Callithrix jacchus: one gene and its partner. The protein of the gene in region 2 interacts with the protein of the main gene of each other region in a biochemical or structural test. Links are inferred from orthologs where the notes say so. Each region holds a gene or a part of one and is shown on either strand. Other genes may lie near its edges. The genes, in order: EMD and LMNA.

Region 1 (4,383 bases), on a different chromosome or scaffold from region 2:
TATATATATATATATAGTTACATATATGTGTGTATATATATATATATATATAAAGTTATACATATATAAAAACTTCAAAGATGAAATACATACCCAGGGCAGAAAATCTGGGAGTTAAGTGAGAATATAGGCAGGTGAATTCTACCACCCAGGGATGATGCGGCCTTTGGAGCTTTTCTCCCATGGTAAACAAGCAGCAGTTCCAGGAGCCAAGGATGATCTGCCAATGAGACGCCTCATCTTCTTTCTGTCCCCATGCCTTTGGACAATCGGGTGGACTTCAGCTTTTTCCAGTTAAAACACCCGCAGACTGCTGGTGGCGTGCATGCAGCTTTGCCTGAATTTCCAAGTGGGTTCTCTGTATATACCTTGTTGTACCACAATTATATGTATAAGCAGTTACACGTGCTTTGGGGAATGAGTCAGGGAATAAAACTCCCAAACAAAACACAAACATTTCTGGGTAGCAATTGATTCCTATCCCCAGACCAAAGCCAAAATGCAGACCCAGCAAGGCCAGATGCCCTTGCCATGGGAACCCAACCCTCTCCTCCAGGAAGAGTCAACACATTAAAAATAAATGGGGTTTTTATTGTGTGTCCACGAAAACAAAGTCATGGTGGCCTTTGGTTAATCCCCTCAAGATGACAACTAAAAGGAGGCATGCATGACAACAACAATAACCATGTTCTCTGATGGAGCGAGGCCTTGCCCTCCTGGACCCTAAGGGTTACAGGCAAGCAGGGCCAGGAGGCTAGAGAGGAAAGCACACCCAGGTCCCCCAGATCATGGAGGGCTTGAGTCTGCTGCCTCCCTGGTGGGACAAGGCAGGGGAGCAAGCACTACTCTGGGCTGGGCCAGCGCCCCCCAAGCGAGAACACACACAAAAGCCCCCACCCCCACCCCCACCCCCACCCTCACTGCTAAGGCCATCAGCCAGGACTTCCCCAGAAGAGCTGGCTCTGAAGCCCAGACCCTCAGGGCTCCCTCCAGAAGGGGTTGCCTTCCTCCGCCTGCATGAAGTAGTAAACAAAGAAGAGGAAGATCGCAAAGACCAGGAAAAGCAGCAGCTGGCCCCAGAGCGGGACCTGGCGATCATGGCCAAGCCCAGCCCCAGGAGCATGCTTTTCTGGCCGGATGGCTCGGCGGGTAAGCCATGAAGGGGAAGATGAAGATGAGGACACAGAAGAGGTGGAGGAGGAGGTAGGATAATAGGATAGGCCCAGGGAGCTCCTGGAGGCTGAAACAGGGCGGTAGTGCGCGATGCTCTGGTAGGCACTGTCCCGGCCGTACATGGGACGTTCCCTGAGGCAAAAGAGGGGAGCAGGTGGGCCAGGAGCCTGGGTGCAGAACCAGTCCCTGTTCCTGGGCCTGCCCTCTACGTACCTATCCTTGCACTCCTCTTCAGAAGACAAAAGATTGTCATCACGCACCTGCAGAAGAGAGTCAGGGTGAGTGGACCGACTGGCAGGGCCACCATGGCCCTGCCACATCCCTCAGTCCAAACTTCCCCAGCTGGTGCCCTCTGACCTTTGGTTAGAGGCCAGGGACCCACACCCTCCCGAATGGCTCTTGGTGTTCAGTCTTTTGTTTGTGGGGTCTTGTCACTTGTGCTCATGCCCTGCTATTCCCTTTTGCCCCCAGGAGTCTCAGGAAAAGCTTGAGCCTAGATTGCAGACCAGGGTGCTCTAGTCACAGTTCTGATGGCTCCCCAAAGTAGGGACCTGGCCAAACAGGCGTCTGCTGAGCCAGTCTCCCCAGAAGCACAGAAGCCACCATTTGTATCCAGTGGCCCCCTGGATTTATCCAAACACAGCCGCCATCCCCTAGATTGTACTCAAGTACAGGGCACCTGCCAGCCAGCTCACCTGGTGGTGGAAAGTGTCAGCATCTGGGAGTGAAGTCGCAGACTGGCGGAAGCCCCTGGACTGGCCCGCAGAGTCGGGCTCCCCATAAGTCCTGGTAGTTAAGTAGCTCTCTTCATAGTAGTCGTCATTGTAGCCTTGGGAAGGGGGGCAGCGGTAGCAGAGGGGGCATCGGTGTGCCCCACCTGGCCTGCTGGCCCTAATCTGAATCTCTTTCGGGACCTGTGACAGTTTCTCCCTCCTAAGGCTGCTGGAGTGGTTGGGGCTGAGGTCTCAGGTCCTCCCTGTGAGCGGGGTCCCTGACGCAGTCAGGTGAACGTGCCAGCGTGCCCACCCCACCCCTGCCTTACCCTTGCTCTGGTAGAGTAAGGCGTCCTCTTTCTTGGGAAGATCATACATATCTGAATCCACTGACGGCGAATTCAAGTCTGGATTGAAGGGAGGCGACAGAACTGTTTGCCCCCCAGGCTTCCCTCCCCTCTCCCCGGTGCCGCTCTCGACCGGCGCCCCTGCCACACCCTCGCGACCCCGATCTCCCCGCATCCCAGGCCCGGTCCCCACAAGCGAGGCTCTCACCAGAGAAGCGATAGGAGAAGGAGGCGGCGGACGAGCTGGGGGGCGAGAGCCGCCGCCTCTGGGTCTCGTACTCGAAGATCTTCTTCTCGTAAAGCTTACGAGTAGACCCTGGCCGGACACGAGGCGGTCAGGGCCACAAGCCGGGGAAGGCGCGCGGGTAGGGTGGCGGGGAGGGCGCGGGGCAGAGCGCGGGGAGGGGGCCCGGGGGCAGGTCCTGCCCGCCGCCGCGTACCGACAACTGGCCCGTGAGGTATGTTGTACTGGCGCAGCACGGCGGCCAGCTCGGTATCCGAAAGACCCGCGTAGTCGTCCATGGCGGGTGCGGGCGCGGGCGGAAGCCGGGCCCCTGCCAAAACCCGCCGAGCAGCGGCTGCCGAGGATCACGGCGGGGGCGGCACGAGCGCCTCGGGAGCGATCGCGCTCGCGTCACAGCCAAATCACTGTCTCGTCACGGCCTCGGGCTCCGCAGGCTGCGCGCGCTGTGCGGGGAGGGGCTTAACGGCGGGAGCAGCAGGCGCAGAACGGCCGGGCCTTGGGAGCTGGGAGGCTGGGGCAGTGAGTCCAAACGTCATAAACGCACGGATTGGCTAGCGGCGGACGGGGCGGGGCCCGCGCCGAGAGTCAGGACAGTGGGAATCAGTCTCGCGGTGGGAGTGGGCGGGGCCGCAAGCCCAACGTCACAAACACACGGATTGGCTAGCGATGGAGGGGGCGGGGCCCGCGCGGGAGCGGAGCAGAAGGTGTCGCGGTGGGAGCGAGCGGGGTCGCGAGTCCGTACGTCACTAACGCCCGGAGCTGTTGGGGGTGGGGCCCGCACGGGAGTCTGGGCGGTGCGGCTGGGAGCCTAGACGTCACCTTGAGGCGTGCGTGAGCCAGTCGGTAGAGAGGGGCGGGGCCTGTGTGTCTAACACCCGGCATCTGCCGGCCGGGAAGTGAGAGCGGCCTAAGTGGGCGCTAGCGGTGGCTCTGGTCCCTAAGTCACTTGGGCTCCCCACCGTCCCAGCACATCCCTTCTCTACGCCCTGGTCCCCTTTCCCGTGGCCCCAGGGCGTAGGATTCCCCGGCCGCATCCGGGTCGGCCGCCCCAGCAGCGGCGGGAAGGGTCTGAACCCTAAGGGAGCGCCGGCCCCGGGCTAGGCACTACTGAGGGAGCTTTGTGTGCGCATCACCTGGGAAGCGGCTGTGGGGCAAGGCCCGCGCCTACGCGGTCCTCGCAGACCCCCTGCCACGGGCCCACCTTCCCAGTCTGCAGGGCTGTCGCCCGTGCACATATGCTCGCTGCTTCCCACCGCCTCCCTCCTTCCTTTTCTCCTACCTCGCTCCACCCGGGAGGAAATGGGGCACTGGGCCAGGAGGCCGCCGGCACTCCAGGAGCAAGCAGCCTTCGAAGGGGCCCGGGCAAGCCAGCGAGCACGCCAGTGAGCGCGGACAGAGGGCGCTGTGCGATGTGTGCAGAGATGACGTGTGTCCAGCCTAACGCTTCATGTCGTTCATTCACCCGGGGCACTGGCGGGAGCTGAAGTGGGGCTTCCTCTTCTGTCGGAATGGCCCCTGAGCCCAGCATAGCCCGGCAGGGGGCAGACGTGGGTGTCGAGCTATGGAAGGGCTGCCAAGGCCTGCTCAGGAGCCTGGACTGTGGCTAGGATTCCCAGGACCTTGATCAGATAAGGGCTGCCCTACGGAGAATGGAGAAGAGGTGATATTCTTTTTTTTTTTTTTTTTTTTTTTTTTTGAGAGAGTCTCGCTCTGTCACCCAAGCTGGAGTGCAGAGCCGCAATCTTGAGTCTCTGTAGCCTCCACCTCCCAGGTTCAAGTGATTCTCCTGTCTCAGCCTCCCTAGTAGCTGGGAGTACAATCACATGCCACCACACCTGGCTACTTTTTGTACTTTTAGTAGAAATGGGGTTTCACCATGTTGGCCAGGCTGGTCTCAAACCCTGAC
Region 2 (3,801 bases):
TGCGAGGCCGCCTCATCCTACCCCTCGATGACCAGGGACCCACCTGCAGGGCTTGGAGACAAAGCAGAGACAACTCACCTGGGTTCGGGGTCTGGAGTTGCCCAGGAGGTAGGAGCGGGTGACCAGGTTGTCCCCGAAGCTGCCACCCCCACTGCCCCCCACACTGCGGTAGCTGCGAGTGACCGTGACACTGGAGGCAGAAGAGCCAGAGGAGATGGATCCGCCCACCTGGGCTCCTGAGCTGCCAGCAGATGCCTTGTCGGCAGGCTGCCCGCAGGTCCCGCACAGCACGGTGCGCGAGCGCAGGTTGTACTCAGCGGGGTCCCCCGAGCTGCTGCAGTGGGAGCCCTGGGGAGGGAGACAAGGCTCAGGCGGGACGGCGAGTCTGGGACTGACCACTCAGGCCCAACACCCAGGCTCTGGGCTCTTGCAGGCTCCAGCCACCAGGCAGGAAGGTGGGGTTCTGTGCCCAAGGAGCCAGTGGGTAACAGGGGTTTGGGAGGCCAGGGGCTGGGAGGAGGGGAAGGAAGATGAGAAATAGGAGAAGGCTCAGCAAGACTTGGGGACAGAGAACCAGAGCGGTGACTCTGACTCTGCTCCAGCTACTCTGAGCTTAAGAGGGAAAGAAGAGGGAAAGGGAGCATGCTTATAGGGCAGGAGGCACGCACTATTCATTGGAGTGGGGGCAGGAATGAGAGAACATTCTCACAGGAAGAATGAGGGAAAAGAGAGGATATGCATGCAACAGGAGTGGGGGAGAGAGGCAGGGCGGGCATGCCCCACGTCTGTCCTCCTGTCCCCTTCCCAGGAGACAAATCCAGACCCTTGTCCATTGCTCCCACCGGAATATTCCATGGCATCAGAAAGTTCCCACTCCCTTCCTTACCAGAGTAGGGCACCCAGACACCTGGGTTCCCTGTTCAAGGTATAGGGAGGAGAGAGAAGAAAGGCCAGGCCAGCGAGTGAAGTTCCAAAACATTCTTTAATGAAAAGATTTTTGGCACGGAAGGCTGGGGAGAGGCTGCCCCCAGGCCTGGCTGGGTGGTACCAGTACAGGCTCAGCCTCAGCGGCGGCTGCCACTCACGTGGTGGTGATGGAGCAGGTCATCTCCATCCTCATCCTCATCGTCCTCAACCACAGTCACTGAACGCACCAGCTTGCGCATGGCCACCTCCTGGCGGGGACACAGGACCAGGCCCAAGGGTCAGGGCCAGGGAAGGGGTGTGCAGCATGTCTACCCCAGTGACCACCTGCAGCTTTCCTTGTGGCCTGCCCTTTGTCCAGCCTGCTGCTTACTCTGCCCTCTGCGATGACGGAGCTAAGGAACTCATTTCTACCCCAGAGGGACACTGTCAAGTTCTCCGAGTAGGAGTATGATTCTGCCTTTAGCAATCCTCACTCACTGTCTGACTTCCACCCCGCGTGCTGTTGGGGAAGCATCTTTTGGTTTGCCTACTGGCTGGGAACATCTGGGGCCTGCACCAGAGAGCCCTAGAAAGGGGCCCTGAATTGGTAAACTTGGGTTGGGGGCAGCTGGCTCCGATGTTGGCCACTAGGGGGAGCCTCGTCTAGGAAGCAGCCCGGCCCCGGCATACGTACTTCCCCAGTGGAGTTGATGAGAGCCGTGCGCAGGCTGTTCCCGCAGCCCCAGGTGTTCTGTGCCTTCCACACCAGGTCAGTAGGGGGGCTATGGGTGGCCCCAGCACCTGCAGCCCAGATCTGGAGAGGAGGGATTAGAAAAGGACACTTACTCTAGCGCTCCCATTGCCACCCAAGGCCTCCCCAGAGTCCCAAGCACCCTGCCACTCACCGTCACCACCTGCCCAGCCTTCAGGGTGAACTTTGGTGGGAAGCGGTAAGTCAGCAAGGGATCATCTCCATTCTGGCGCTTGATCTGCCAGTTGCCCATGGACTGGTCCTGCCAGGAAGATAGGGAAGAGGAAGGTGGGGGAGGCTCACCCAGGCTCCTGGCTGTATCTTGGCTTTCTTCCATCTACACCCACCCCTGTCCCTGCCCTTCCGCCTGGGGATAATAGCCATGATCTGTGGACACATATGCAGCGCCAGGCACACGGATACCTTATCTGTCATCTTCCTGACAACTCAAAGACTTAGGGATCATTATTGATCCCATTTTACTGATGAGGAAACTGACACTCTGAAAGGTTAAAGAACCTGTTGAAGATCTCACAGCCAAGGAGTCCAGGAGCAAGGCCTGGAACTAGAGTGTGGAGGAGATATACAGGCTCACTCTGGTCCACCCTCTGAGGGGTGGGATGACCCTCTCTCCGCATGTCATCCCTCTGTCTTGCCACTCTCTCACTGATGCAGTTGTACCCCCTGAGACCCTGACCAGGAGCCTACCTCATTGGACTTGTTGCGCAGCCGGACAAACTTGCCGTCCTCGTCCACCTCCTCCACGGCCACGCGCCCACTAGTGCGTGCGTGCTGCGAGAAGCTGCTGCGGCTCTCGGTGGACTCCAATTTGCGCTTTTTGGTGACGCTGCCTGAACCCTGTGTCTGGGACGAGTGGGAGGAAGCACGGCCGCGGCTGCGCTGCGAGGTGGGGCTGGGGGACAGGCGTAGCCTGGGGAGAGGGAGGCCAAGTGGGGGTCTAGTCAGGGCCAGTGGCTGGCCAGAGGCCACTGCCACCACCTCCCCGATGCCTCCCCAACTCACCTCTCCTCCTCACCCTCCAGGAGCTTGCGGTAGGCATGGATCTCCATGTCCAGAGCCAGCTTGATGTCCAGCAGCTCCTGGTATTCATCCAGCTGCTGCTGCATCCTTGCCCGCATCTCAGCCATCTCCCGCTCCTTCTCTGCCAGCAGCCGCCGGCTGGTGTCCCGCTCACGGGCCAGCGAGTCCTCTAGGTCTCGAAGCTTCGCCTCCTTGGCTGCCAGCTGGGAAGGAGGGGATTGGGGGGGTTGGTGAGCTCCCAAGGGCCCCAAGTATGGAGGAGGAGGGACATGGCCACCTTCTCCAGGATCTGCAATCAGAGGCTTCCCCAGAGCCCATCACAAGCTCTAATCATAGTCTTGGCTGGCAACTGGGAAGTCCTTCCCCTTGTCCCCTTGTCTAACTGAAATCTCTCACTCTGAGGCTAGACCCTTTTTCTCCCATCACAGATGGCACAGCCAGCTAGAATCATACTGATGCTTTTAACACCTCACATTGCAGAGTCTTATGGCAACTCTGAGTCAGGGAGATTAAGAACAGCTTCCATTTCCGAGTGGGAAAATCGAAGCCTTGAGAAGTGAAGGCAAGGTAAGAGTGCAGAAGCAGCACACAGGCCGCCTGATGCCGCATCTTGCGACCCTTCTCTGTGGTCCTGGGGACATGTTTGTCCCTGTCCTCCTCAGGAACACCCCCCACAACCCGGCCCTGAGCTTCCAGCCTGCATCCTGCCCAGACTCCAGGCCCCTGGAGGGAGGGGTGAGGTGGGGTATCACCTGCTTCTGGAGCTGGCTGAGCTGGGCAGACAGGCTGTCGATGCGGATGCGTGACTGCTGCAGCTCCTCGTGGGCGGCCCCCACCAGATTGCTGTTCCTCTCAGCAGACTGCCGGGCATTGTCCAGCTGGAGGGAAGGACACAAGGGTAGGACGGTGATGACCAGGAGGGTGGAGGGATAGGCCTGAGCTGGGCATCACTGCCACAGCCTTGGGTCCTGGGCCGCCCTGAGCTCCCTGCCACCATCTGCCTGATCTCCCCGGCGGAACAGCCCAGCGTGGGCAAGGGTAGGCTGCTGCGGGCAGAGGCAGTGAGGGAACCAGGGGAGAGCAAGCACCTTGGCGGAATAAGT

Evidence for each region.
Region 1: the proteins of LMNA (region 2) and EMD form a complex in vitro, tested with the Homo sapiens proteins (4 studies listed by BioGRID and IntAct, with this or other methods). The link is inferred for Callithrix jacchus from reciprocal best matches to the Homo sapiens genes LMNA and EMD.

Annotation. Positions count from the first base shown.
Region 1 is NC_133524.1:150,171,599-150,175,981, reverse strand, and holds EMD (emerin), read right to left. Parts: upstream 2,889-4,383; 5' UTR 2,756-2,888; coding exon 2,674-2,755; intron 2,550-2,673; coding exon 2,442-2,549; intron 2,294-2,441; coding exon 2,216-2,293; intron 2,003-2,215; coding exon 1,869-2,002; intron 1,434-1,868; coding exon 1,387-1,433; intron 1,306-1,386; coding exon 978-1,305; 3' UTR 571-977; downstream 1-570. UniProt on the Homo sapiens protein: Stabilizes and promotes the formation of a nuclear actin cortical network. Stimulates actin polymerization in vitro by binding and stabilizing the pointed end of growing filaments. Inhibits beta-catenin activity by preventing its accumulation in the nucleus.
Region 2 is NC_133519.1:16,528,329-16,532,129, reverse strand, and holds part of LMNA (lamin), read right to left. Parts: coding exon 3,787-3,801; intron 3,577-3,786; coding exon 3,451-3,576; intron 2,902-3,450; coding exon 2,681-2,901; intron 2,589-2,680; coding exon 2,366-2,588; intron 1,920-2,365; coding exon 1,812-1,919; intron 1,721-1,811; coding exon 1,601-1,720; intron 1,176-1,600; coding exon 1,086-1,175; intron 349-1,085; coding exon 79-348; intron 1-78.